Linked DNA regions of Alligator mississippiensis. The protein of the gene in region 1 interacts with the protein of each later gene in a biochemical or structural test. Links are inferred from orthologs where the notes say so. Each region holds a gene or a part of one and is shown on either strand. Other genes may lie near its edges. The genes, in order: ZBTB16 and HBEGF.

The links.
Region 2: the proteins of ZBTB16 (region 1) and HBEGF form a complex in vitro, tested with the Homo sapiens proteins (2 studies listed by BioGRID). The link is inferred for Alligator mississippiensis from reciprocal best matches to the Homo sapiens genes ZBTB16 and HBEGF.

The regions. Positions count from the first base shown.
Region 1 is NC_081839.1:33,137,290-33,152,364, reverse strand, and holds the start of ZBTB16 (zinc finger and BTB domain-containing protein 16), read left to right. Parts: upstream 1-8,398; 5' UTR 8,399-8,769; coding exon 8,770-10,016; intron 10,017-15,075. UniProt on the Homo sapiens protein: Acts as a transcriptional repressor. Transcriptional repression may be mediated through recruitment of histone deacetylases to target promoters. May play a role in myeloid maturation and in the development and/or maintenance of other differentiated tissues.
Region 2 is NC_081832.1:42,999,466-43,014,059, reverse strand, and holds the start of HBEGF (proheparin-binding EGF-like growth factor), read right to left. Parts: upstream 8,098-14,594; 5' UTR 7,742-8,097; coding exon 7,699-7,741; intron 7,217-7,698; coding exon 7,034-7,216; intron 1,858-7,033; coding exon 1,680-1,857; intron 1-1,679. UniProt on the Homo sapiens protein: Growth factor that mediates its effects via EGFR, ERBB2 and ERBB4. Required for normal cardiac valve formation and normal heart function. Promotes smooth muscle cell proliferation. May be involved in macrophage-mediated cellular proliferation.

The DNA.
Region 1 (15,075 bases):
TCCCCTTCCCCAGAGATGTCAACCCATTCCCATTCCCTAGCGCTATATTCCTTTTGAAGAGGGGCAAGATGAGTGCAGAAACAAATCCCGCAGAGGACAAAAGCAGTGAGTGAAGGGGTGTAGCCTCGTGGGCAGCTACGCAGGGCGGGGGAGGTAGGAGCCCGGGCTCCCTTTCTGGAACCACTCATTTGGCTCCTATTCTATTTAAAAGTTCCTTTAAGATGAACTTTACCCAGCACACGCACAGCTCCTCCTAACACACAGTTACGGCTGGCATTTAGCAACCCAAGCGCATGTTCCTTCCCGTCCTGAGCAAGATGTCAAATATTTTAGGTTAAGAGAAGGGGAAAAGAGGAAAAATAATTACACAGTAAATTAAACAAAGGCAACCCCCCTGCTTATTAAGACTTCAAGAGGCGCACATTGCCGCTTCTGGCTTCAGCTGTCTGGAGTACATACAAAGGGTAAGGCTAAAAATAGGTACTGTACAAATGATTAGGTCATAGATTGCTAGGGGGAGAAGGTTTTTTATATAATTGCAAACTAGGCCTCGCATTGTTGGTGAAAAAAAATATAAACAGGGCAGTTCAAAGCCTGGCTGCCTGTTTTGTAGCACTATAAAGTTTGCACTCCTTCGCTGAGTCACTGGAGATAGGCTCCCTTTTGTGCGGGGGGATTTACTCAAGGAATGCAGGCGGGCTGGCCTTGGCTGGCAGGGTCCTGAGTCACAGCGCACAATGATCCTTGCAGTGTTTGCAGGCTTTACGGCCGTTAAGCCACTAATTAGCTTCATTGTCTTACCCTCTTCCCAGTCCATGTGTCCTGGACAGAGTGGGGCGGGATGGGAGAAAGGCCTCAAACTTTGCAAGCCTAGAAAATGCATCATTTAAAGGGAAAGAAACCAAGTGGTGGGGGAGGAGCTACCTGCGTGTAGCTGTTTTGATCTATTTTATATGTGCAACTCAACCATCCAGGGACACAAGGGGAGTTTTAACTTCTTCTTTTAATCTAGTATGACCAGTCGCTTCTATTGACCTAAGACCTAGCACAGCCCCTCCCAGCCTTGCGCAGCCCGGGAGCCAAGACTCAAAGGTGACAGAAGCCCAGATCTGCAACCCCAGTGGGGGCTGGGCCAGCGAACACCTCCGCCGGTCTGGGTCTTGCTGGTGGTTGCTGGTTCGGCTGTGTGACTGCCTGGATTGAAATGGATTGAAGCAGGGCTGGTTTTCCAAAGGAAACAGCTGAAACAGTGAGCATCTGCTTCGCTGGAAAATCCAGGCCATCTCCAGCATCCCCAGCCGGGCCCCCAAAGCCCTGCTGGCTTTTCGATCTCTTGGCCATTGTGCTCCTAATCCCCAAAGAGTTAACGGCCCTGATCCTGCAGAAATGCAGCCATGCACACAATCCCGCTGAGTGCAATGGGGTGGGTCAGGTTCTTGGGGCAACTTCCATGATCGAGTGTTTTCAGTATCAGGGTCCAAACACGGGAGGAACTTTGCTTACGTTGGTTGCCTTCTCTCATTCATGTGAGCGAGGATTGGCAAGACTGTCCTTGCTTGAAATGTGGTGCAATGAGTTAAAAAGTAAAAACTGAGGGGCCAGGGAGCACAGAGGAAGGACAAGGATTACTGCAACAGGCCCATGCAGTTACTCCATTGGGCGTGCACTCATCTAGCCAATCCCCTTCAGGCTGGTACACTCAAATATCCCCCTTTCCCTGGAGCCTTAGAAATCCCCCGTGGTTATGGGAGCTGAGGTGCAGTTTTGCTGCAGTAACAACATACGGTCTTTATTTTAGCGTGGATCCGGATTACAGGGCAGTGATAGGAACACAGCGGCTTGCAGAATGGATGCGTCTGAGCTGCCCACTTCCTATCTTACCCATTCTCCCAAACCAGTTGTAGCCTCCCAGTTGCTTTCAGGTTCCCTCTGTAGTACAAGCAAGTGCTCCCAGAAAGACTCCTGCATTCGGCTGCTACCTGTCTGGCCCTGGTATCTGAACAGCTCAGGTGACACTCATCCTAATCAATGGATTTTACACTCAAGCTTACTATACTGCAGTTGTACCCCAAGTGAGCAGCTTGCCCAAGCCCCTGCAGTGTTCTTCTGCCCTGTCTTCTACAGTTGGGTGTGTTTTGTGAAATACAGTCTAACACATTTTATCATGTTTTCGTAAGCTGTCAGCCTGTCTTCCGTGTGAAAGTAGAGCCGTGAATTATGCTCTGATCTCTGAGCAAACCTAACACACTGCAAACTCCTCGCTCACTAAATACAGGCACTGTCATGTGGATGTTGCTGAGTTAGGCTGGTGGCTCCAAGAACTACATCTGAACAATTCTGCAAAATCAGGGCCCACGATAGCAAAGGTAAATCACCCCAAGAGAGTTTGCCCGGCCATTGGGTACTATCACAAAATTAGCATGTCACAAATGAGATTGAATCAGACTTGTTTACCCACCATACTTTTATTAAAGGCAGCCTTACTGGTTTCTATTAACTGGGTATTTTTCATTTAGAAGTGTTTTAGAGACTAATATCCAAGAATGAATTCACTCAGTGCTACAATGCAGCCACCTCTGGGGTGAGAAGCAGCAGCAATTCTAGGAAAGAGGGGTGGAGGAGAAGAGAAGGTATGTGTGGGACAGAGGGCATGGCACCTGTGTGCAACCTGGCATGGAAGGGTATGTCTACACGTGCATTAAGGCACGTGCTTTAAACTTAGTACCTCCAATGAGTTTCTCCCTGGCTAGAGGGAGGAGCACAGCAGCTTGCCCAGAGTGCATTGATTGGCAGGTAACCGAGCTGGGTCAGCTGGAAGAAATTAATGATTTCCTCCCATTCTTATACCAGGGTTGGTTTGGGGGAAATGTTGCTAGTGAAAAATCAAGATATCTGGGAGGAAGTGAAAGGGTGCAGGCTGGGTCTGGGCTGCCTCTGTGATCTCTGCTTTGCAGACTGGAACCTGGTTATACTTGGCACTTGGCTGGTGACATGTTCCCTACTGTTACTTGTTCATCTTACTGTGGGACTTGCTGCCCCAAGACTCCCAATTCAATGTTTCCCTGTTGGTCCTGGCTTTTGCTGCTCAGGTCCTTAATTCTGTGCCTTTGAAGAATCTGAATGTTGGCAGACTGCTCTTGGGGGATGGATGAGTTGTTGAGTCATGTAGTTCACTTGTTAGCATGTGCAGAATGATGCTTTTTGCTCTTCAAAGTGTGCTACGTTGTGGTTTCCATGGGTTAAATGCTGAGAGAGAGAGAGGGTCTCCACTTGCTAGCTTGGGAGACATGGATGGCCTATGCTGTCCTCTTTGAAGAGGTGCTCCCCTTATCCTGATCTGCCATATCCCCTTGGAACAGGGGGAACAATTTCTCTTCCTTACTGTCCCCTTCAAATGCTTGTGGAGCATGCTGGGTTGGGAAGATCTTCAGCTTGGGGTGCTTTCCTGTGTGCCAAACCCTCCCCATGCTGTCAGCACTAAACAAGCTAATCATAATTTCCTCCCTAACTCAAGTTCCTGTGCACAGCCAAAATAAATAACTCTGCACTGGTAACAGTAGTAGTTGTGAAACATTCCCCTGGGTATCCCAGGAGTATGCATCTCAGAAGACATATATATATATAAGTTACATGTATATGTGATTATAAAGGACTAGCAAAATCCTGGAAGTTTAATGCTAAAGGTTAATAATAATCACAGTAGGCAGCACATCATTGCCTCTGTATCTGGTTGAGAGATTTACAACTTAAACTCATGGCAGAGGAAGAAATTGCCTCAATCACTTGGAGTAATGGCACATGGAGAGCCACTTGGGCGTGACTGCTACTTAACATGAGAAGCCCAGCCTGGCTTCATTTAATGTGCTGGTTCTTTTCTAATAAACACGTTGCTCTACAAGGTGAGGATTAAGTTCAAAAAAGTAAATAAATTGGAAACTGATGGGGAGAGATCAGAGTGCAGTGGCATATGCCAGAAGGAAAGGCTAGTTCTTGCCATATAAAGCGATTAACTCCTTTGTTGGGCTGGTCTCAAAGCTCAGAAATAAACCCTAAAGCCAAGGATAGCATTTGCTGGGTGTTATTTTTCAGAGATGGGCAGCCACAAAGCCAACCATCTATCCACTTAGGCACAGACTGGCAGTGCTGTTGCATCTGCCTTACTGGGGGGGGGGGGGGGGGGGTGCTGCCTGCTGGGCACTGAAGAAGGTCATAAGAAGGTCTTCATGTGATGCAATGTGATGTGATGCACCTGTTGTCATCCTACTCTTCAAAGACCTGCTGAAGTTGCAGGCACTGGTTGGATTTCCTCCACCTGAGATGATTGGCACTCCCCACACCTGGAGGAGTAGTTTCACAAAGAGCTGCTCCTTTGATCAGTAGATCTGTGGCATTTTTTTCCAGCAGCATTTGCTTGGGTTCTGCTACAACTTGCTCCTTGCAAGACTCCTGGGCCATAACCCCAGACCTCTGAAGTTTAGTGCAATTCATAAAAAAACAAAAATGTGCAGAGCGAATTGCATGAGCTCTGCTGTTAAAAGAGGACTAAGCCTGCACAGGGATGTCTGGATATAACTTCTCCAAGGCACTCCCCAGGTGATGCCCTCTAAACCTGGTGGATTCTCATTCTTCCCTTCCCATTGGCATCAAGGCACCCAGCTAACACTCAAATGGTTTTTTCATTTATGCTATCAGACCGTCCAAGGCTCCTGCTCTTATTCGAATCAACTTTTTAAAGCTAATTCTGGAAGACCTTAGAGCTGGGTGGGAGGGGGACTCTTCTTTGGAGCTGTATTTGCTATCTTAATACTTCCTGTGCATGTTGTGTGCATGACCTCAAGAGGAGACAATGGGTTCCACGTCATGGGCTAGAGGTTTTTTTGGATCTTCCTATTTTATGCCCCTTGGAATGGCTGTGCCTTTTGCTTCCTCTGTGGCTATTGATCTCCAAGGGATGTCAGCTATGAAATTCTGTGTGCATGCGGTGGAGGATATCAATTTTGAAGGAAGTCTAAAGGCAGATTTCCTACTGGTACGACTATTTCTGAGGGGGGGACTCCATTGTTCCTTGCATTGTCAAGCAACAGATGTTTCTGAGCAGCTTGTTACAACAAAGCTAATGTAACTGTAAATATTTGCTTTGTCTATATTTTTAGTGCTATCTATGGTTTGGACCAATAAGTGGTTTCTTTAGATCACACATGCACGGAAGGAAATGTTTGCAGTGAAATACAGTAACTCTTGTGATGACTCATGGTGCGGTGTGGATATGTGTGGGGTAAGGTATGGAGAAGCAGGGGTGTGTAGAAGAAAGCAGAAACAAGTGGACCTGAGGGAGTGCTGGATCAAAGTGTGCTGCTGAGCTGCCCCAATCCAAAGGGGTCTCCACAAACGGCACCTGTGGAAATGAAACTCCAGCTGAATGGAGTCTGCACAAGAAGGCAATGCACAAAGCAGGCATGGTTATTTGTATGGCAGCCGTGCTTGATGCTCTACCCAGGAGCTGGGCCCTGGGGTGATAGGCTCTTGTACACACACAGAGTAGGAGATTCTCCCTAAACCAAAAAGTTCACAAGTGAGATAGAAAAGATGGAAAAAGGGTGTGTGTGGGTGGGGGGTGAATGAAGGCAGCATGACTCATCTAGTCTTAATGTCAGGGGCCTGTGTGCCTGCATGGTGCCTCTCTCGTCAGCCCCTGCAGAGAAGCCAAGGACTGCAGGCCAGAGGAACCCGGCTCCGGTCTCACCCCTTGGTAAGATTGCTCCTGCTGGGCAAGGCTAAGCCTCCCTTTTTAGGAGCCAGATCTAGTGGGCACTTGGGTTGTGAGCTTTTGGTGAGTAGTGGGAGGAGGGTCATCTTTTTGTTCTGCAGGGCTGTGCTCTCCTTGCTCCTGCTGCAATAGCAACTATCAGGAAAAAGGCATTTGAATAACTAGCGCAGCCTGTGTGATTAGTATCTGAGTACCGCCATGTGCGTACACACATGATTTCAGGATTGGGACCTCCGATTGCAAGCTTGGGGTAGAGACCAGATCGTTTCTATTACAGCACATGGTACGATTCACCGATTACTTAATGCAGTCTTGAAGAGCCACTGTAATGAAGTGTAAGTCACAGTTTGTGTTTGGGGGAGAACTTGAATATCCTTTTGCCTGCGCTATGCCTATTCTGTGAATAAATGTAGGATTTCTGGCGTGCAGGGTCAAAGTAGCTGTAGGAAGCAACTCTGTTTAAAAGTTGAACAAGTCAGTAATTTTACACTCTCTATATTTATTTTATTTTATTTTTAAAGTGAAATGCACCAATTCACAGGAAGGACTGGGGGTTAATTTTCAGTGTGCTGCCTGGGAATTTAGCTGTGGGATTTCCATTATTGCTAATGGGATTCATGCAGCTTAATTTCATGCAAGCTACACTAAAAATGTACCCCTAACCGTCTGCAGAATTTCGGTTCTGAAATCCAACCTCTTCAGTTAGAGCGGGGTAAACAAACACCTGAAAGCACATAATTGTCTGCCTGTTTTTTTCCTGAATCACTTTTGATTTAAGGTGTGGAGGGGAAGCCTCTGATTTAAGCAATCTTTAAAAAAAAAAAAGAAAAAAAGGAAGAGGAGATGTGTATTCATGCTGATAGACAGCATGCTGAATTTCAGCTTGCTGCCAATTAAAACGGCAGAGTTATAACCCCTGAAAAATGGGGTGTAGTTGATGCCTTATCCTTAAGTATAGCACTGTGAATGCTACACTATAATACTTACCGGATAAACTAAGCCCTGTTGTCTTGCAGTATAAAGGCCTCTGTTATTAGGCTGCTCCTGTTAAATGACTGCTATCATTTGGTCCCGAAGTACATTAAATCCCATTATAATTATAAACACACTTCCCTATAACATTCTCTTTAGATTACATGCACACGGCTTTACCCCTAAGGGTATCTTTGTACTAATACCATTCTTATTTGTTGTTTTAGCTGTGGCAATATCGGGTCCTGCAGGACCGGGAATAGGCAAAGGGGAGGGGAAAAAATCTGCCAAATGATTGAGCTGTGCTGCCTGGCTTCTCCGAGAAACGGCACAGCTTAAAAGGGGCTGAACTTGGGCGCAGGGCTGCCCCGGGCCACTTGAGAAGGACGAAATGTTGCACGGTCTCCCTTCTGTAAGAGGCTGGGCAGTAAAGCGGGCGGGCGGGCGGGCGCTCCCACGCGGGTCACCTGCACCAAGCGGCCGCTTCCCCGGCCGTGCACGCGGCTCGGCGGAGGCTCAACAAGTGGAGGCGGCCGGGAAGCTCCGGGAGCAGGTGCCGGCGGGGCCGGGGCGGGGCGGGGCGGGGCGCATCCCCCGCGGCAGCCGCCGGCTCCTCCATGTTTGTTGTTGGCAGAGGCCGGCCGGGCGAAGCGCTGTCCAGCAGCCCGGGGCTCCGCTCCGCGTCCTCCCTCCCCACCGCATCCATCCACACCGCCCGCTCCGCTCCCGACTAGCCGGCACATGTTCGTGCACACCCCACAGCACAGCACAGCCTGCTCCGCTCCGCTCCGCTGCATCCGAGTGCAGACCACCCCCCCCAATCCGCTTCAACCGGGTCCGGTGCAGACCCCCCAGCCCAGCCCGCTCCGGTGCATCTGAGTGTAGACCACCCCCCCAATCCGCTTCAATCGGGTCCGGTGCAGACCCCCCAGCCCAGCCCGCTCCGGTGCATCCGAGTGTAGACCACCCCCCCAATCCGCTTCAACCGGGTCCGGTGCAGACCCCCCAGCCCAGCCCGCTCCGCTCCGGTGCATCCGAGTGCAGCCCACCCCCCTGCTCCGGTCCAATCGGGTCCGGTGCAGACCCCCCAGCCCAGCCCGCTCCGCTCCGGTGCAGCCGAGTGCAGCCCACCAGCCCAGCCCAGCCCGGTGCGGTCCAAACTAGTCCGGTGCATTTTAGTTTACACCACCCATCCCATCCCATCCCACCCCGCTGCGGTGCAGACCCCCCACCCCGCCCCGGTCCGGTACAGACTAGTGCGGTGCATTATAGTCCAGCCCGATCCAATCCAATCCGGACGAGCCCCGCGCGTTGTAGTTTAGATTCCCCCCCCCCCCCATCCCGGCCCGGTGCATCCTAGTGCGGACTACCCATCCCGGTGCGGTCCAGACGAGCGCGGTGCATTTTAGCGCAACCCGGACTATCCCCCCCCCCCCCCCCCACTCCCAAATCGCGGTGCGGTGCGTGTCGGGCGGGAGCCGGGCGAGCGCGGGTGTCCGGCAGCTAGGTGTCAGGCCAGGCTCGCAGGCGCGCGGCGGGAGCGCGGGGCGGAGCGGCAGCGGGACGGGGCGGCGCCGGCAGCCGCGCCCGGGCGGGCGGGCGGGCGGGCGGGAGGTGGCTGCGGCCGCGCCGTGCCGTGCCGTGCCGGTGCGGTGCGGGCGAGCGGGCGGGATCGCTCGGGGGCGCGAGCCCGGCGCCAGCAGTCAAGATGGAGCCGGGCCGAGGCTTCGTCGGGGGGGAGCGGCCCTGACGCGGGTGCAGCAGCGTCAGTGATTTGCTGGCCCGCGAGCACAGCGGCGCCGGGGAGGATGAGAGCGGGCACTGCGAACTGCCCGCGCCCGCCGCTGCTCCGGCGCTGAGCCCGCAACTTCCCCGCACCTGGGCGCTGCCAAACTTGGAGCCCGCCCGGATCCTAACGGGCTCCTTCCTCTCTCTCTCTCTCTCTCTCTGTCTGTGTCTCTCTGTCCCTGCCCCGCTTCCCCAGGCAGCCCGGGGGAAAGACACCCTCATGACTGATCCTCCGGAGCACCATGGATCTGACTAAGATGGGCACGATCCAGCTGCAGAACCCCAGCCACCCCACGGGGCTGCTGCACAAAGCCAACCAGATGCGGCTGGCGGGGACCCTGTGCGACGTGGTCATCATGGTGGACAACCAGGAGTTCCACGCCCACCGCACCGTGCTGGCTTGCACCAGCAAGATGTTCGAGATCCTCTTCCACCGCAACAGCCAGCATTACACCCTGGACTTCCTTTCGCCAAAGACTTTCCAGCAGATCCTGGAGTACGCCTACACCGCCACCCTCCAGGCCAAAGTGGAGGACCTGGACGACCTGCTGTACGCGGCGGAGATCCTCGAGATCGAGTACCTGGAGGAGCAGTGTCTGAAGATCCTGGAGACCATCCAGGCCTCCGACGACAACGACACAGAAGTCGGCGTGGCGGACGGCGGCGCCGAGGAGGAGGAGGATCGGAAATCCAGGTACATCAAGAACCTGTTCATCTCCAAGCATTCCAGCGAAGAGAGCGGCTACGCCAGCCTGGCCGGCCACAGCTTGACGGGGGTGATGGTGGAGCAGAGCCCGTCCGTCTCCACGTCGTTTGGGCTCTCCGCCATGAGCCCCACCAAGGCGGCCGTGGATAGTTTGATGACCATCGGACAGTCGTTGCTGCAAGGGGCTTTGCAGCACAACCCCTCCGAGGACTTGCACTTGGTCGGCGGCCGCCACCCCAGCCTCTCCGAAGTGAAAACAGAAGCGATGCAAATTGAGGAAGCCTCCAGCCACGAAAGCCCCCGGACGGCGGAGTCCAGCACTTCTGGCGGGGACAAGCCCGACGACAAGAGCAAGGACGGGCCCGGGACCCCGACCCGTAGCAGCGTTATCACAAGTGCCCGTGAACTTCACTATGTCCGCGACGAGAACGCGGAGCAGCCCCCCGAGGCGGGCCAGGGAGCGCCGCTCGGAGGGGAGCAGTCGGTTTCTCAGAGCGAGAAGCCCCTGAGCGTCTATTCTGTGCTACCAAATCACAAAACTGACTCTGTGCTCGGCGTGCCGCCCTCCATGACTTCTGCCCTGCACGTGCAGCCGGCTCTCGCCGTGTCCATGGACTTCAGTGCTTACGGGGGCCTTCTGCCCCAAGGCTTTATCCAGAGGGAACTGTTCAGCAAGCTCGGCGAGCTGGCAGCCGGCATGAAAACTGAGAGCCGAGCCGTCGGGGAACAGTGCAGCGTGTGCGGGGCAGAGCTGCCGGACAACGAGACGGTCGAGCAACACAGGTGAGTCTTCCCGCTACGTCCTTCTCAATGTGCCATCGGGTCTCTCCTCACGTCCTGTCACGATTGGCAATTTTCTCTTTTTTTTCCCCCCCAGTTTCTGTTGCACAATCCACAGGGCTTTTTGTGGGGGAGGAAGGGGGTTGTTTTGTGTTTGTGAGTGAATTTTGTGCTGGAGGGTTGCGGCCTGTGTCATGGAAGACAGATCCCCCGTGGACGCGATTCACCCTTGTGCAGAGAGGGCTGGTGCAAAACCTGTGTGTCGTGTTGTTCCCTGCTACGGTTGTCAAACATGGGACTGTGTGCGCTGCCCGGGCATTTTGCTGGCCCTCTCTACTGCACCGTATGTTTGCAACAGGCAACGATTTGGCAGTGGCACCGCGTGTTAGGCAGGGAATGGCCTGACAAAGGATTGTGATGTTGCTCATTTGCTGAGAGTTGGTCCAAGCTCCCCACTAGCTTCCCAGGCTGATGCTGCCTGGGAGTGTGGCTAGTGCTGTCTCATGCCAAATCCGAATTTGCCCCAGGTATCTATCTCCTTCCCAATTCTAGCGCCTGCTTCTTTAAGCAGATGGGAAGCGTGCCTGTGTGGTCAGACACTCAGCGATCTGTCTGCTTGCTGTCCTAGGGACTTAGTCTGGGCATCTGACTGCAGATTGGGGTGTGTGCATGTGTGCGCGCACTATTATTTTTGGGTGAGACCTCTGTGGCTCTTTGCATCTTGCTTAGTTGGCTTTGGGATGTTTCTTGCTGTGCCTCCTGGATCTGTGCTCTGATTCTAGGCCAGTCTGCTGCTGCTCCTCTCCCCGGGAGCAACCTCTCTGGCAATGTTTAATCTCCAGGCTCTGGACTGAACGCCACAGAGCCCAGCTCTGAGTCCAGCCACACTGGAGTAAGGTCAGAGGGCGTGTGCTGAACTTAGTGGAGTTCCCTTTAGGTTCAGGCCCATTTTGAAGGAGGTCAGAGTTTCACCTTTGCTTGAGTTTTGACTCGTGGGTGTGGTCTGGGGGTTTCTCCGGAGCCAGTTGGGGCCCAGTCAAGTGCATTCATCTGCCCGGAGAAACGCTGGAGCTTGCTGTGCTGACTTAAGTGGGGCCTGCTGGGGCAGTAAAGAGGTCTGATTGTGAACATCCATCTGCGGGGTCAGGGCTTCGCCTGCCGGGAGCAGCAAGAACGGGGACCCCAGCTGAATTTGGGTGCAGTAATCACAGACCAGTCGGCCTTAGGCTACACTGCGAATGCAAGCCTTTATGCCTTCTGTACTCCAGGGAAAGCATGGCACGCTCGGTAACAGGGATGCTGTAGCCACACAGTTCATGGGGGGGTGGGCATGGAAATGGGTTCAAGGAGCTTGCCCAGTAGGACATCAGAGGAAGAAGGCCAGTTTGGGCTCCAGTTCCTGGAATTCAAATGAAGAACACAGGAAATCCTGGGAGCATCTCTGGAGTATTCAAACTGAACATCTTTCAGTATTTTAATGAACCAACAAGTTTAATTAGTTCTAACGTACATAATATCCACACGAGGCTCTGCCTGTGTGTATATTGTTGCCTTGCTGATGGGGCAGGAGAACCGCTCTGCCCCTGGCTCTTGTTGTTGTGTTTAGATCTTGCCCTCGGTAAATGAGGCAGGATTTATCCGCAGCTCATGTGGGGCCTCCGAACAACAATCCTCTATTCAACCTGTTACATTTTAAGTGCAGACTGGCAGCCTTGACTCTGGGGTTTGCATCCTTGTGCGGGCTTGCGAGACATTTCTAACATAACATCTTAGTGTGGCTTGTGATTTTAATATGCAAGCGTGTGCTGTAATACACGCGGCACTTAAGCAAATAGGTGGGAGTACTGGCCCGGGTACTGAGAGGACACAGACAGAACTTCCTGAAGAATCGATGGGAATTGTACTTCTGTTCTCCTACAAAAAATCAAAAGAATAAGTGCCTCAGACCAGATCCTCAGCGGGTGTAAGCAGGAGCTCAAGCGCTGCTGACTTGCATCAGCTGAGGGTCTGGCATTGTTTGCTTGCTATAAAATGATGCAGGCTGGACACCATTGACCGGGAGCTGAGATGAAGGCGCAGGGAGAATTTTAACGTGGCGGTCTGCCGTGCTCTCAAACACTGCCTCTTCTCCCTTCTGAAACACAAAGACTAACAATTGATGCTCCTGCCCACACCACAGGAACTATTTTAGAAACTCTGCAAGAGGACAACTTGGCAGGGATTAAATTGGGAACTTTAATGCAGAGCCTGTTCTAGAGTTCCCATTGCTGATCAATAGCCTTCCGTCCGAGCCAGGGCTCAGCGGAAAGTTAAACCCACCCGAATTCACACAGATGATTAGGAGGCCCTTTGTGAATGACTGCATGTTATGAATAAGAGGGCACATATTTTGAACCAGCTTTCTGCATGGTGAGATGGGCTTTATTCCATTTAGACAGCAGTTGCTAGGGTTGCAGCCTTTATTTTTAAATTATTTATATTTGCAATGCACTCCAGTATGTTATGTACAATAATGAGGTCTCGGGTCTAGCCTAAGCTCCAAGTTGAGCAACTTAAACAATGTCGTTTTTAAGCGAACCGAGTTAAATGGATACCAAAGCTCATGCGAATGTTCTTAATTTGATTTCAACTTTGTTCATACCTGCTAGGCTGCATTGGTTCATTTATCGGTGCAAGCTAAATGCATATACACAATCTTCAGCCAGCTTGGGCACACTTCACTAAATAACTTGAACCCATACTTCTAAACCAGTGCATCAGGTGTGTAGACATGTTGCCATGAGACCTTGCTATAATCTTTGCTGCCAAAGAAATGGGGAAATATTGGTATTTTGCACAGGGGTTATTTAGGCAGCTATTGCGTAGCATCCCCAGTGAGAATTTTGCCACCTGTCATCTGTCCCTGGAAGCGGATTAACCAGTGGTGGCAAGACTGGAAGTTTCTTTGTGCAGGGCTGAGGTTTCTTACCACCGAGCTCATCTCGCTGTGATCAGAGCAGGCTTAGCAGGATCAATCTCTAAAACACCTGCTCACTTACTGGACTGGAAGAAGATGGCAGCTTCTGGTTTTTCTAGGGCTAGCAACTCTCCTTGTGCTAATGGCAGCTCTCCCAGTGATTTGGGATCGGCTTCAGAGCCGACTTAGTCTGAGGAAGTCATCTCGCTGAAGGGCAGAGGTCCACCAAAGTCGCTGGCACAGCATTCAAGATTTGCTGCTCCTTTTCCTTGAAGTAAATGGGATGCTTGCTATTGACTGCTCAATGGGAGCAAGGGATGTCTCGTGGGGAGTAGGGCTTGTCGGTGCTGAAGTGGCTGCAGTACAGCGGTTTGCTCCCTGCTTGCAGCACTTGCATGTGTTTTGGTTTTGTTTTCTAAACTTGATGCGAACACCGAGATGTCAAATGCAGGTTCATTTTTAGCTTGGGCAGGAGCTCTAAATAAATGTCAGTGGCTTCTTCCGTTCCCTCCCACCACCTCTTTGGTGGGGCGTCTTTCCTCCCAGCTCTGTTTTGGACAGGGCCTCACCTTGAGCGTGAAGGGGTCGTCTGCATCGTTTTTGGTTAGCGAGTATTTCCGTCTGCCCCTGCTGCGTTTGTGAATCGGAACTGAGGTCGTTTAGGTGGTCAAGAAAGCACCTCGCTGCGTGTGGCAGGAGCAGCTACGCTTGGGGATGACAATGTCTGTTTGGGGAGAATTACTTTGCTTTTGGTTTTGCAGGCTATGGATGGCCTGATCGCCAAATAGTATGGTCAGGATTGCTGTCGAGATGTTGCTAGTCGGCTGCTGCTGGGAACTAGTAGGATTTTGAGGTTTGTAACACGGTTTAAAGAGAATAACATGGGTGCAAAGCAAAACTCACCCTGGCTGACTTTCATTTTTTTAATTTATATGAGGAAAACACTTTAAAGGCCTTCTCCAGATCATGCCCCCACTATGATGGGTACTGGACAAACACACAGTAAAAAGCAGCCCTGACTTGGGACGGTTCACAACTGAGTCGCCCAGACAGATAAAGAAAAAGTAAGTGTTGTGAGCTTGATTTTTTTTTTAATTTGTTGTTTTTTATTTTACTACGAGAAACAAGGCACAGAAGGAGCAACTTGCTCAAGGTCAGATCAAGGCTGTGGGGGGTTGAATGCCAATCTGAGACCCCGCTTAATGACTGAGTCACAACGGCCATCCTTGGTCTCCTGATGTAGTCATCGTAAGATATTTCATGTTATGGTTGACTCAAAACCAACTCATTTCGGAGCTACATTAGTACAGGCCTCTCTGTTTACTTGGGTCCTGGTTTGGAGTCCCGGCGGAAGTACCAGGCTTGGGAACTTATAGGCTGCTTTAAGATCTGTTTGGGTTTTTTTTTTCTTCTTCACTGATCTTATGATTTTGACTAATTGAGTGTGTATTGAGTTGTGGCTCTTTATTCTTTTTTTTATAAAAGATTTCCTTCTAGGTTCAGTAAAGTTCAAACTTAATCTAATGTTGGTATTGATTGTAGCTTCTAATTGCAGGGGGAAAAAAGCTAGAGTTCAACATTTTTTTTTTTTTTTATTTGGACTGGGGAGAAAACACTCATGAATTTTGAAAACACTGTTATCCTAAACTGCTGAAATGAACTCCTTTTTAAATTTTTTATCACAAAACCAAACCATTTAAAACTTGTTCTTCTTAGCAGCTTGATTTTTTTTGTATTTTAAATTGCATTTCTTTAAGCAGTGGGGTAATACAGGTGTAGCTTGGATCTATCACCTTGATTATTTGAGAAGTATTCCCTTCCCACCTTTGTGTCTTGTTTTTGGAGGTTGCATGCTTTTTTTTCTCCTTCCCCCAGTCTCCCATTTTGCAAACATTTAAGCACGTGTTTAACCTGTCAGTTAGATAGGACTGCTCAGGTACAGGGGGTCAGAGGGGGGATGGGGCTTATTTGATTGTTACCCAACAAAACAAGACCCTGATCGTTACCGGGAATCTTGACGATTAAGTTATTATAGTATTTTATGCACGTTGTGGTGTTGTGGAGCTCTTTGTGTGAAGGAGTGCTGTGAACACCAGCATGTTATAA
Region 2 (14,594 bases), on another chromosome or scaffold:
ACTGCAGTTTTAAATATGCCATGGTTTTTGCCTCCCTGCAGGCCAGCAGCAAGCAGCAGGGCCACCAAGGCCCATCAGCCAATCAGCAGCAGGCTGGCAAAAACTGCAGCCTATTTAAAACTGTGGTTTTCACTTCCCTGGTGATCATGAGAAAATGGGCTGGCCAGCAGGACTGCGGGGGTGAAGGGAGCGGGCAAGTGGTGAAACGAAAAAATTAAAAAGTGGTTCAAGCGCCTGCATTGAACACCTTCAAGAGCAGACTGGATGCTTATCTTGCTGGGATCCTATGACCCCAGCTGACTTCCTGCCCTTAGGGCAGGGGGCTGGACTCGATGATCTTCCGAGGTCCCTTCCAGCCTAAATATCTATGAAATCTATGAAAAAGGAGCTGCTGTGGGGTTGTGGGCTGTGGGGGGGAGGGGGTGGTGTGATTTCCTCTATGATTTATGGAGCTCCCTACACATAAGCCACCACCATGGCAAAATAGTGTTAGAGGAGCAGGACCAACTGGGGACTCTAGGACAGAGTAGCTCACTTACAGGGCTCAAACAGAATCCTAGAAGTCAGAGATGAAAACAACTCTACCGCATTCTGTCCTCTTCCCATTAGTCAATGCTGAATTAGTCCCAATGGTGTATTCTTCAGGGCTTTTATTTTCAGCTCCTGCCATTTTTCTGGCGAAACTATTATGCAGACTAGTGGATCTCTCTGCTAGACTTCACAAGATTAGAAAGGATATATGCATGATGCTGAAAAAGAATATTTGTTTCCTGTGCTTTGATGACATTAAAGAGCAATTTCTTGGTTAGGAAACAATACCCTGCAACTGTGCCGTTGTCAGACTCCCAAGGCCATCTTTTCACATAAGCAGAGCCTCCTGCTTTTCCCTGTTCACAGTGATTCTTCATGAACTTTTTTTTTTGTTTTCCTCTACCACCTGCCCAAATCATAACCAGAGCTACTGCCTGTATGATATACTGTAGGAAAGAATTAATTAGAAGGCCTGTGGATACAGCAGTAGCTCCATTCAGAAATATTTTAGTTATTTCCATTAGGGGGTGCCTGGCTTGAGATATCTATACCAAAATTTCAAGAGAGCTCAGCTGCCATTTAGGCACACTGAGTCCATTGGGACCCGAGTCCACTGGAGTTCTCATGCGGCCCGATTTGCAAAAGAGCAGAACATCTCAGCTTCTATAGACCTTCACAAAAGTTATGAGCATCAGTCTTCTGAGAGTCAGGATAAAGGTATTTGACAACAGGCTCCAAAATAACTTTTGAATGTGAATGTGAATAGCTTGCAACAGTCTCAGTCAACAAAAGGTAAACTGTGTTATCCCAAGTTCTTGTAGGCTAAACACAGAGCTCAGACAGAAGTCAGTTAAATTTGTTTGGCACCCATAGTGTTGGGGTTTTCAATGGAAGGTTGATGTATGAGACATAAGGGACATTTTTCTGGACATGTGCCTTTAACAAGACCAACAACAGTCTGTGGTTTCTTAAAGTGTACCAAAGCGATGCAAAACGCAAGAAACAAAAAGTCCAGGAAGTCAGAATAGCATCCTACAGAGCAAGAGGACAAACTAAAAATATCTCCTACGTTCTTCCTCTGTGTGGTTTAGAGAATTCAAGGAACAATGACTAAGGTTTCCCTAGGACAGAGGTTCTTTGCTACTTACATGCAGGATGGAGCTCCCAGCTCTTTGATGTATTTGCATTCTCCATGAATACAGAAGTCCTTATACTTTTGTAGGCATGGATCTCTCTTCTTCCCCATGCCTTTGCCTTTTCTCCTTTTCTTACCATTCCCTTTTTTCTTTGGAGTAACCAGCTCTTGTGGTTTTGACAAGAAAGCAACTGGAAAACAAGTTCAAAAGAAAAAACATCCGTCACCTCAATTTCTTGCTTAAAAGTGAAAGAGGGCAGGAAACCTAGACCTATTGTAAGTAATTCAACTTTGGTGCCAGCAGAGCACTTTTGTTCAGAGATCTGCCGCCAAGCAGAAATTTTTCCATTCTTGCACATTTGAACAAATATCATGGCATTTCTGATTCATAAAAATTCTGAAGGAAATAAAGGAACAAGCTACTGCAGATTCAGGAATTAAAACAGGGCTTTATCTATCTGAAATGTTGCTATTATATGCACTGGTTTCCACTGAATACAGAAGATTAGTAATTGTGTCTTTATCTAGCCTTTAATTTCTCTGATCAGCCTGATCTTTTGTAAGAGCCTATTCATGGTCCTGATTGGCCTCATTTTCCTGTGATTACAATGATGGCTTGCACACAGGACAAGAACAGTATTAAAAAGGGCAATAGGAGGTCAATTTAGGGTTTCTGAAAACAAGCTGATATCAACAGAAATGTTCTTACAAAATATGTAGTTACTTTTTTATTTGAGTGGAAGCAATTTATTTAAGTAAACCCAACTCATGCTCATTTGGCAAATGTTAACTGGAGCTTTCTGGATGCTCATTAGGGACACCTTGCAAGGTGAAACTTGACTGGGTTTCTAAACTGGGTAAGACAAAAAGCTAATTACTCGATCACGCAAAATTCTGAGTCTGCTCACCCCCCAAGTAAATTCAGTGGGAATATATGCTACTTTGTCACTTCCTCATGGTTTCTTTCCCTACTGTGGTGTTCATAAGGCAGCTAAGGAACCACCGGGCATCCAAACATCACGTTAGTTTTCAGTTTTGCAGTGAAACTGGAACAACTCCAGAAAACATAGGACATTCAGCAATGCTGATCATTAAGGGCCAGATTCTAATGCCCTCACTCACTTGGAACAGTGCTTCATTCTTCAAGTAACACCCCTAAGGTCAATACATCTGAACTTTCAGGCACTACAAAGTTTGGGCACACAGAGAAACAAAGCCATGAGGCTTAAATACAACTGAAGAATACTTTTAGATTCCCCCAGTGCTGCCCTTGGTCCCATGGACTGCAGCCCTTGTTTCCGTCCTTATCCTATTTTACAGCTTTAGAAGGCACCACGTTCAGAGAAATGGGGGAAGGAGCCACTCTCAGCAGTGCAGGAGCTTTTAGTGTTATAATTTAGTTAAGAACCAAGAAAAGACAACCAAAATATTATGTACAAGAATTTCCTGTTTCCAGTTAGGGGTCCCTTTGGTTTATCTCTCTGCTGCAGGCATTGTGACTAGCAGTACAGGGCAGTGCTCACAGGAACATGCTATCACAGGGGCCAGGAAAAGACATGCAGAACCACACTGGGCTGCTTACTCTCCTCCAAACTGGCTCCCCAGCTGCCACCCACTCCTAGATCTTTGTGCTTGTGTCCCTCTGTCATGAGATCAGAGGAACAAAGGTAACACCACTGGTGTTTATTTGGGAGAAGTTATCTGATAAGACCATTACTGCATTCAGGCCAGCAAGCATCAGGAATGGGCTGATAGGAATAGCAAGTGGGAAGGGTATGGATGAGCAGGGGCATAAGAAGTGAGGGCAGAGAGGATGTTCCTGACTTCAGTTCCTTGGAATAGCTCAGACACTCTTCCCCTCCACTGGCAAGATTGACAGAGCAGCTAGAGGCTCTAGACCTGACAGGGACTGGAAGGAGACATGCGGCACTCCTAAAGAGCACAAAGCAGAAGGGGTTCCCAACCCAGAGAAAAGCATTATTTATCATCCATTTCATAGTAGAAAGCCCTCACTCCAAGGGCAAAGTTGGCACAGCCCCTTATATTTACCATGCAAGTTAGAGTGAAGCATTTCAATAATAACAATAACCCCATCCCATTTGTGTGGATTTTGAGGCTGACAGAGGGTACTAAGTCATGGATAGGAGAGTGGGCAAGAACTAGAGAAGCCAGATTTCCTTTGCTTCATATAATAAAATTCAACCCCTTGGAACTACCCATGATTGCCCCTGGGCACTATAAGCTTTCACTTGTATAAACACTGCCCTAGACAGTGCAGAGGCAGCAAGAATTGGTGACTCTGGCCCCCAACAAAGATTCACTTAGATGCACCACTGGATTTAATCCCCAGTCCCAACTCCATTTCCTGTCATGCCACATGTGTGTAGCAGGAGGCATGACTTTGGGATTGAAGATCAGATCCCTATCATGTCCTACTTGTCAGTGCAGGGGAAGCCTGAGATTATGATTCCAGGCTCCCCCTGCACTGGCAAGTTGAAAACTGGGTGCCCACAGGGATGCAGCCAGGGATGACAATCAGCTGATTGTCAGCGTGGGCTTGGGACTGCACTGGGGCTCATTCTGGATCCTAGTGCAGTCCCCAGCCCCAAGCAAGAATCAGTGATTGTTGGCTCAGCTACATGTTCAGTGTAAAGCATCATACAAAGCAGCCATAAAATTGTCTACATTATATGTGGAACAATTTTATGGCGGATCTGCCATTTTATGATGCCTCAGACTGTGCACGTACAACACCCTTGTCAATTATGCTGCAATGAATACATTAAATCACAGCATAAGTGTAATGTGTAATGGGGGCCTTTGACTCCCCAGAGCTACTTCCTGTTCTTTCTATTCAACCCAGAAAGATTCTGGGCCCATCAACTCATGCACCTGTGTGGATGCTTTTCACCCTTCCAAAAGCTCACTGATTCCTATTGGAAGGGAAGAATGATCTGCCCCATTTGTAGAGGGCAGAAATATCTGTGGAGAAATGGAAGGGATATGGGATCAAAGTGAGGTGGAGAGAACTGGGAGGAGCAGTGATGAGGAGAGATTCTGATAGGGACAAGAAAGGAAGCGAAAGATTGTTTAATGGAAAGCACAGAAAGAGATGGAGGCAAATTTCCCCAGAACTGACTCCCTTTAGATGCAATAGCTCATCCTGCTGCTGTAAAGCTAGACAGTGTACGTCAGAAAATGACAGGAACAGAGGCAAGACAGGAAGGGGAACAAAAAATGAGGAAAGACTAGAGTACGAAACATTGATCTCTGGTCCAGTCAGCATTGGCATATGCTGGCGTAAACCTGGTGACCTCAGTGAAGTTATGCTGTTAACACCAGGTCTGAATTTGTCTGCGTGTCAAATCCTGGTCACAATCAAGCTAAAGCCTAGCCTCCTGCACTATTCAATGGGACATTCTTTGGCCCAAACCCCGGTAAGAGAAACCAGACATAAATGGACAGAGAGCACAAGAGAGCAAATCCTGAACCAAGCACCTCTGCAGAAGGGACAGTGTAGTGGCATTTCCCAGCTAGGTGTGAAGGGTAGCAATGTGTGGGTGGTGAGCAGTGAGTCACAGGCAATTTCCCTCCTCGACAAAGCAGTGACTATTACTGATAGGGCTGGGAAACAAACCATCCCACTGGATTAACCCACAAGACAGAGCCCTGCAGGATATCAAGGAGTGTGATAAAATTTCATATACAGGTTTCCCTCACTTTATGCTGTACATGCATTCCTGGAAAACCGCACATAACTCAAATGTGCATAAAGGGAACCAACTTTACAATGCAAGTAATAGAGATATGTTCCAAGACCTCGACTGTACTGGCCCCCAGACCCATTTCTACCACTTTTACAAGACAATTTTAGTACTCACCAACAGCAGACAGGACACACAAGCACAGGGCACTATCATAATGGGGATGGCAACTACAGAAATGTGTATCAGAGACAAGTGAGAAGCACAGATCCACACAGGGGACTATATTTTGGTGCGCATCACTCCCACAATGCACCACACAAAGCAGCTGACTGCGGGCTTCCACCACACCAATCACATAAGAGTGAATTTACTGTGCATATAATGAATTTTTGGTATAAAAAGGGTCATTGCATATGAGTGAATTCACACATACAGAACCCGCAAAAAGTGAGGGAAACCTGTACATTTTCTGGGACCAACCTACAGAACTGAATAAGAAAACCTAGGCCCAGAAAAGACTGCTGTAGGGTGATGGAAAGAATCTCCAATATTAAATGGTATAGGTTTATAGAGCTATTTCCATCTCCTCTTGATGTCATTAAATATTACAGGATTTTCCCAGAGAGAGAAAGAGTATGTTACTACAATAACTGTGCTGTTATACAAACCCTTTAACTGCAGTTTCCCCTTCTCCACTTTGGAGATAGCACTCCATTAAGCATTACAAAAATGAACGTCCCAAGTAGAGAACAGAGTGCTGGATCTAAGAAGTGTTACCAGGGACTCGGGGGAACAAGAAGCATGTCTGTCGGGATTTGGGGGTCATAAGAATGCAGCCCTGGGTCTGAGCACAGGGGACTTCACGGTAACAGAAGGCAAAGAAGCACAAACATAGAACTACTAAAAAAAAACTGAACTGTGACACAAAGCACACGAGCCAGGAATTTCTGTGGGAACACTCTGGCCTGGCCTGGCTCTCTGCCCGCATCTCTTTCCCCCCCCAAATATTCCTTCTCTCATGGCTCAGGGCTTAGCATATGTAAGTCAAAGACAGAAAAGCCCCTTTGGCTCTCACTATCTGTCCTGTTCTCTTGCAATGGTGTTTCTGCCTTTAGCTGTCCTCTACTTCCAGACAAAGGCTGAGAGTTCACTTTGATTACAGAAACTTTTTCCTCATCCATCCATCTGCTAGTCATACCCTGCTCAGCACCCCACAAGTAGCCCCAGGTATGAAGTCCCAAATCAAGAAAGCATTTAAGCACATACTTAAATCAATGCCTATTGAATAAAGTATCCTGTTTAATTTTAAAAGCGTGTTTTGAATGAAGTCAATGGAACTTCAGCATTTGCTCAGGTACTTTGCTGAATCAGAGCAATTGTTGAATCATGGCTATGACACAAAGTTAATTGAGAGCAGAATTTACCTCACTAGTTGTGGGAGCATGCCACACTGCTCTGGGACTCTTACTCCAGTAGACTGCTAGTAAAGAAATCCCTGGGTAACTCATTCACTTCCAGGTGACTCCAGTACCAAAGAGTGAAAACTCCTTCCTTTTAACAACCTGCTCTGTTCATTTCTTTCCCCTTCCCACAGACACAGTTAATGCAGCACAGCATATCCCTGAAATGTGTTGGGGGTGGGAGGGACGACGACACATACCTCTTGGGAGCTCAATAAAATAATCCCCGGAGGAAGTAACCTCTCTGTCCCTCTCTTCTTCATACTCGGAGCCTGCCCTGGTCTGGAAGAGCTGGACAGTCCCCACACGCCCGCTGTTTCTTTCATGGTAAACTTCATTTTCAGTCACGTCGGTCCCTTCTCCATTCACAAATCCTGAGTAGGCTGCTGGGACAAACAGGCAAACCCGTCAAGCTGCGATGTCACAGTGAAAGCCACGGCAGAGCTGGCACTTGGGAGGTGGGGGGCACTCTCTCAAATGCTTGTCAGCGCTGGAACAGGCCACCCAACAAGGTTGTAAGTTTAAGACCCAGCTAGACAAAGCCTTGGCAGGGATGATCTAGTTGGGGCTGGTCCTGCTTTGAGCAGGGGGTCAGACTAGATGACCTCCTGGAGTTCCTTCCAACCCTCAGTGTCTAGGACTCTGCTAGGGGGCAGGGGTGGAGGGCAGCTGTTTATAGCCACGGCGACCAGGGGCGAGCTGACAGCGTAGGGGAGCTGCACACACGACAGCCTCCCGCAATCACACACCAGCGCCTCCCTCGCTCCCAGCCCCGGCGCTGCCCTGCGGGCGCTCGTTCCCCCCAGCCCACCCGGCTCGCGGCGCAGCCCACGGGGGCCGCCCGGAGCGAGACCCCGATCCCTACCTGCCGCCAGGAGCAGGTTGGCAGCGACCAGCAGCCCCCTCATGTCGCCTCCTCTCCCCGGCCCGAGGCAGGAGCGCGGCTCCCCGCGGCCGCCGCAAACTTTCTGCGCGAAAGAGCTGCGCGGCGCTGCGGTGCCGGAGGCGGCGGGGCGGGCGCGGCTGCCTCTCCGACCGCTGTAGCCCTCCTCGCTGCCCGCGGCCGGTGCTGCCAGGCGGCTCCTCTTGCTGCGCTGCCGGGCGCCCACACCCACGTGCTGCTCTGAGCTGCAGCCCGATCTCGGCCGGGCCGCGCCGGCGCCGGGGTAGAGGCTGCGGGGCGCGGCGCGGCGCGGCGTGGGTGGGGCCAGGCCGCGGGGGCGCTGCCATCCGGGCACGCCCGCCCGGCGCGAGTGGGGCGGGGGTTAGTGCCGCTCCCGCCGGGCGGCCTGGGCCGGGCTTCAGCCCGACGGAGGAGGTTTCCCATGAGGGCCCCTTCGGAGCCCAGTGGTCAGCCCTTGAGGTTGGCCCGTCCTATAGGGAAGTGCCCAGGCGCCTCTCTCCGAGGCTGGGGGCACGGCACAGCCGCTCTCAGGCCCCACGTCCTGCCCGGACCATTTGAAGGCTCAGATCAGCCTGGCTGGGGAAATACCATGTATGCATGTCCAAGAAGGCAGTTTTCCTGAACCACTTTGCAGGGGAACTGCTCTTCTGGAGAGGTGCAGTGGCTTTAAACCCAATTTATGGAAATGGGAATCTCCTCCCTTGCTTGCTCCAAGGGCCTTAGGGCTGAGGGCAAGCACAATCCAGGGGCATCCAACCCCAAGCCTGCAGGCTTGGGCCTGTATGCAGGATGTGCACCAGTGGTTTTGGAAACATCTGAAGCCCCAGATGGGGGTGGAGGATGTTTGCTGGTAGTAGGGCCACTTACAGTTCTGGACTCTTGGATTTGGAATTAGTTTTGGCTAATTTGGCCTCCAATATAAAAAAAAGGGGAAAAAATTTCTCCACAGTCCTCGTCCCATCCAGTGGAACAGATGCCCTGCCAGGGATCAGCACTCCCACCCAGCAGAAATGCGCTTTGCCAAGAGCTGATGCAATGTGTGCGGCTGGGACAGCAGTCTCTCATTAGGAGGGGCCAGAGCAGGAGGAAAGAACAGTACTGCCGGATCTGAGCTCTGACTTGGCACCAGGTTTCCCAGATGGCAGCAGGAGGTAGCCAGGCCACTTTAGAGACAACCCAGAAGGTGTTAAATCCACAGGGTCCTTTAAGAGAATGACCTGAGGCAAAGGAGGGGAAGGAGGGAGACGATGCCCTTCACCATGTTGTATACCAGTGTTTCTCAACCAGTGTGCAGCAGCACAAAAGTGTGCTGTCAGCAATGAACAAGTGTGCCACGGAATTTTACCATGGCCAAGGACTTCAATAGGTATGAGGATGGGGAATGCCATAACAGGTGTGCTGTGGAAAAATTTTATTAATGCAAGAGTGCCTTGGGCTGGAAACGGTTGGGAAACACTGTTCTACAGTCGGCAGGCAGGAGAATTCCTTGGATGTCTTAGTGCTGCTGGTGGTAGTGATGGGTCAGGAAGCAGCTACAGCCTTCTTTCAAGGTCAGTTTTGACCATTATGTGGCTTTGTGATGTGGGACTGCTGTAGGCACTGCCTTTCATATGTTACATAAAAAACAGGACCCTGCTCACTTCTGGTCACAAGAGCTTCTCTGGTGCTCTGGCTCTTAATATCTGGGTGATCAGCTGCACATTATCTGGGTCAGATTAGCTGGGTATAGTATAAGAACATAAGGAGATCTCCTGGTTTCTTTTAGGAAAGAAATAGCATTAACCCTGTCATCCTGGCCAGATACCAACTTCTTCATTTATACAGCCTACTTATGTAAAATTCTCCCTGCAGTTTCAGTTAGAAGCTGGGCCTGGTTTACCACTACCCTGTGTTCAGTCCTTTATATTCACCTTACACTCACTTTCCAGCAATGCAAATAAGTAGATGAGTGCAGAGAATGGATAACCAGGACCATCTTGTTGTGTATTATTTTTGAGAATGTTTAAACAGCTGCTATATTCTACCTTAGAGTGAATGCATTTCACTGGTGGGTAAAATAAATTAACATATTGTTTAACTAGATACCTTATCCACTTCAAAAGATTGTTGTCTAATTTAAATTGTTAACCTCAGTAAACTGCTCTGAAATTCTTGTGTGAGAAGATACTAACAAGGTAAAATATTGTTAATGGTTTTTCAGATTAATTGTATGGATAATCATAATGATTCCTTCAGCAGAGCTGCAGGATGTCTCTCACTGAAGATAGGGAGGCTCTAAGCAGGGGCAATGTACAGATGCCAGGCAAAAACAAAATGTTAAGTTGCATAAGAAATAGGGTGGAGAATGATAAAGAGGACAATGTCAGATCTCCATATAAATCCATGGTGTATAAATCCATGGGCAGTCTAGTTACCTCATCTTCAAAAGATGTTGAAAAATTAGAAAGTGTTTTAAAAAGAGCAATGAGAATGGTTAGGAGCTTGGAAAATTTCTCAAAGGAAGATGAATTGCAAAGAATTGGGTTTTCCATAGAATAAACAAACAAGAGGAACTCTGAAAAAAGTATACCAAATAATAAATGATCTAGAAAAGACAGAGAAATGGAAAGCTCCTGATCAGTCTCATAAACAAGGACATGGAGAGTCCATGAAACTAAAAAGTGGCAAGTTCAAAGCCAATAAAAGGAAACCCTTTCTTATTTATGACATAATCAGGTGGTGGAAATCCTTGCCAAAACATAGTAAGACTCAAAGAGGGATTGGATGCTTGTAAGAATAACAAGGACATCCAGAACTATAATGCTACCAAGGCTACAAACAGATGTTGCATTTTAACCCTGGGACAAATTGCAGTTGTTCAAACATCCATGCCCAATGTCCTAAATCTTTAAAATGGTCATGAGATAAAAAGTGCTAACAATTTATCCTAGGCTATCACAAAGTGTATCTGAACAGTTGTCCCAGGATTGCAGTAAGTGGCAATGTATTTCAACTCTTCACTAAACCCTGATTAGATGGGTAATGTATGTATTTGCCAATCCTGGGACATTTTTGTTTTGGGACAAATAGAGGAGCAACTTGGCAAATGTAAGAAGCTCAAGAAGAGCATTGCCTGGAAGGTAAAACCCCCTGCTTCACAGCTTAAACCCATCTCTTGCCATTTGTAATCCAGATGAGAAATGATGCGAGAAGCACACATCTACCTATGGTGAGGTTCTTACCTCTTCCTCAGGATCTGATCCACTCAGGTCTCCCTTCTTTCCCATGAACATTTTTTCATCATGTGTCTTTTTCTTGTAATGTTAAATGAAATGTTTTTAGAGATGGATTCTTTGTTGAATTTCCAAAGAGGCATGGGCAGAAGGCATAGATAGCTCAGGGAGCTGGGCAGAGCCCAGAACCTGAGCTTCTGTGAGGGTCCAACCAGTCTTAGATATAATTTTAATAGAAGGCTGTTACTTAATGAGAGGCCAGGATTCCCATAGCACTGAATGTTACAGAAGTATCCCTTGCTGGTATTAGTCACATTTCCTAGACTGGCCTGTAAGAGGATGGAGCAGAGGTCCTATGTCAGCAGAGGGTTCTTCCCTGGCCTTCGGTCTCCTCTGCTCTAAGACCTCTTTGCAATATATATGTGAAGGGTGCAGTTGGCATTTTACTCACAGGAAGTCACCCAATCACTTTTAAACTTGCTTAAAAACTAGGCATAGAGCTTTAACTGGCATTTGCCTCTGAGTACTAGGTGTCCATGATGCTAGGGGCACATCATTCCTGACCTCATTGATCTTACAGGGGTGGGAATTGGGTGGCTACATCTAAAGCCTGGCATTATCAGGGCATTATGGTGCTTGCATCAGTTTAGAAAATAATTCAAGTCCTAAAAGCTGGGGCAACTGCTATAGTGAGAAATGATGGCTATTCTTCTCACCAAGGGATGTAACACCTGTAGTTATTTCAGTTCCTGGAAGTAGACTCCTCTGCACAGGGTGATCCACAGCATCACCTCACAATATGACATCCAGCCTTGTTTCCTGGATTCCATTCCAAGTTTTGTCTTTTCACTGCTTCTGCTCAGCTGCATTTACACATCTGAGTTTACTAATGAAACTAAATGTCAACAAAGCAGAGTTGCTCTGTGCTGCTCTGAATATCATCTGGATGTCAGTCCTCCTTTGACTGTTCCTTCTGTTACCTTGAACTCCTAGGTCCAAAGTCTTGATGCCAGTTTCAGTTCAGAAAGGTGCATTAACAGCATGATTAAAAATTCCTGTGATTGTTGTTGTTGTCTCTAAGAGATATTAGCTGGGTTTGGCAGCCCCAGTTCACACCCCAATTCTTGCCTGAACTTGACTGTTGTAATTATGTGTTGGCTTCTGTTCCTTTTGTTTCCTCCAGCCATCATCATCTCTTATAGAATTTGGCAGCTGGGACTAATAACGTGGACAAAACTGTTTCATCATAATATTACAATTCCAGCTGTGCTGAACAGGCTTCTAGTTCAACAACAAAGCACTGATGATTGCCCAGAAGACTGCACTGTTTATTTCCCTGTTACGTAACTTTCTGCACTGGGTTCTCCTCTACTTGAGTTTCCTGCCATATTCCACTGAACAGCCAGTGGGGCATCTGATACAGGGGCAGTGTGGGAGGTGTGCTTTGCATGACTTACCTGGCATACTGCATAGCAAGAGGATGAGTTAAGCGAGATAGGAAAGAGGATATATTATTTTGCCAAGGAGACCTTTTGCCTGGTCATTTTTCCAGTCTATGAAATTCTTGGAGCATGTAGTCACTGGGCATGTCTACATATGTGTTTTAATGTTCAGTAGCCTATTTTCCTGCGCATTAAAGCACCATGTCAAAAACCATGTTAATGTGCAGTAAAAATAGGCTACTGCACATTAATCATCACTAAAAAAGCATGTGCTTTCAATACTGCGCAGTAGGGCAGCCTATTGCACATTTATTTAGTACCTTACTTTAGAGGTACTAAATTTAGTGTGCATTAGATAAAGTGCACACTGTGGATCACATAACAAGTTATATCATTCAAAGGATTTATAATTGAATTGATGCCATGTTCTGTTCTTCAGAAAATATAAAAAAGATTCAGAAGTTTTAAAATTTAATTTCTGTTAAAAATTAAAAAATATCAGAAGATAGTCTTGTCTTTTGTGATTTTTTTGTAGGACTCGATAGTGGTCTCATAAATAAACTCTGAGATTTCTCAGCCCTTCACTGAAGGGCTTAGGTGTTCAGTCTTCAGCGTTGGAGTATTGGAGTTAAAAAAGATGCATAGAGTTTTTAAGTTTGAACAAAAAATTTTCCCCCTCTCAATTAATTAGGTTTCATTTCCGTGGTATCTCTCATGTTGTAAGTGTTGCCAAATCCCATGATTACATCACAGTTGGATTTTGGTGACTGCTGGAGGTAATCTTATCAAAAGCAATTTCAAGTTTCACCCAGAAGCTTTGACTGGTTGCCTTCCTCAGTTTCCCTCCTCCAAAAAGGGGCAGGGGGGAGGTGGTTGGGGGCAGGAACAGCCAATCAAGGTCATGTGGAAGGCAGTGTGTGCTTGTTGTCTTCCATTGTGGGGATGTGGACAAGAGAGGGATCACCTATACCATTTTAAACAGCAGGGAAGGAGGGTGCAGTTTGGATCAGTACTTCTCAAACTATCTGATGTGGTGGACTGGCAATTTTTTTTCCAGTGGGCCAGGTACCGGTGCCCAGTTCAGCCGGTGGCAGCAACTGCATGTACACAGCGCTACACAAATGCATGACCGGCTGTTTCTTTCTCTTTCCTCACCTCGCATGACGTGACGTCACCTGGAGTGTTGGAACGTATGAACTGTGGTGCTATGACATATCAATGTTATGCTTCTGAAAATATATTTCTTTCTTTCCTGGCAACTCGCTGCGGACCGGTGAATATATTTCTTTCTTTCCTGGCAACTGGCAACTGGCTGCGGACCAGCGACCGGTGGCTCACGGATCAGCAGCGGTCTGTGGACCGCCACTTTGAGAAGCACTGGTTTAGATGGCTAGTGAAGTCAAGCCTATTATTAGTTTTCCCAATATCCCAGATTCTGACTTGAGCTACCACATTTCTTAGTTTGTCTGTGTATGGGTGCAGATGCTCAACTATATCCACTGGGAGAGGAGCCCCTTTCATAAGTGCTACAGGGATCTTTCCTCTGATCTCTGGCACTCCTCTAGCATAGCTGGCCTCACAGTCAATGGCAGGATCCTTGCCCAGGGCATGAGATGCAAATTGCAAACTATGCATCTGCTGCTAACAGAGAAGCTGGGTGGACAGCCCTGGATGACTCCTTTCTGCTCAAAGGTGTCTGAGTAGACCTCAGGATCTTCTTCAGTCCCCTTGTGAATAAGGCAGGGCTGGTGCTTGCTGCCAGCCTGCCAAGGCAACAAACTAGAATTGAAACTGATGGAACTGGAAGGGAACTTGGAAGTGGCATGCCTGTAAATCCACAGTCTCCTGCCGCTGCTCCATCAGTCACTTCACTGTCTCTTCCATTTCCTCACTGCAGCAGGTCTTCAATAACCACTTCCCAGCCATCAGTCAGTTAGAGCAGGTGCCTTTCCCGGCTTGCTCTAAAGCAGGCCCCACATGCTTACATGAGTGCACAGCACTCCACCCCTCTCCTGGGCTTTGGCTTTCTTATCATGAGCATTCTTATCATCAACGTTAGCAAGAACTTGGCATAGTGCAGCCCAGTTTCTCCTATCATTGGGTTTCTCCTTGGATTTCTTTCTGAGGGCTGTTTGGCCCATCTGCTAAAAACTCTCCCTCAGAGACTTCTTTTATGCCTGCCCATGGTAAAGAACCACCTGCC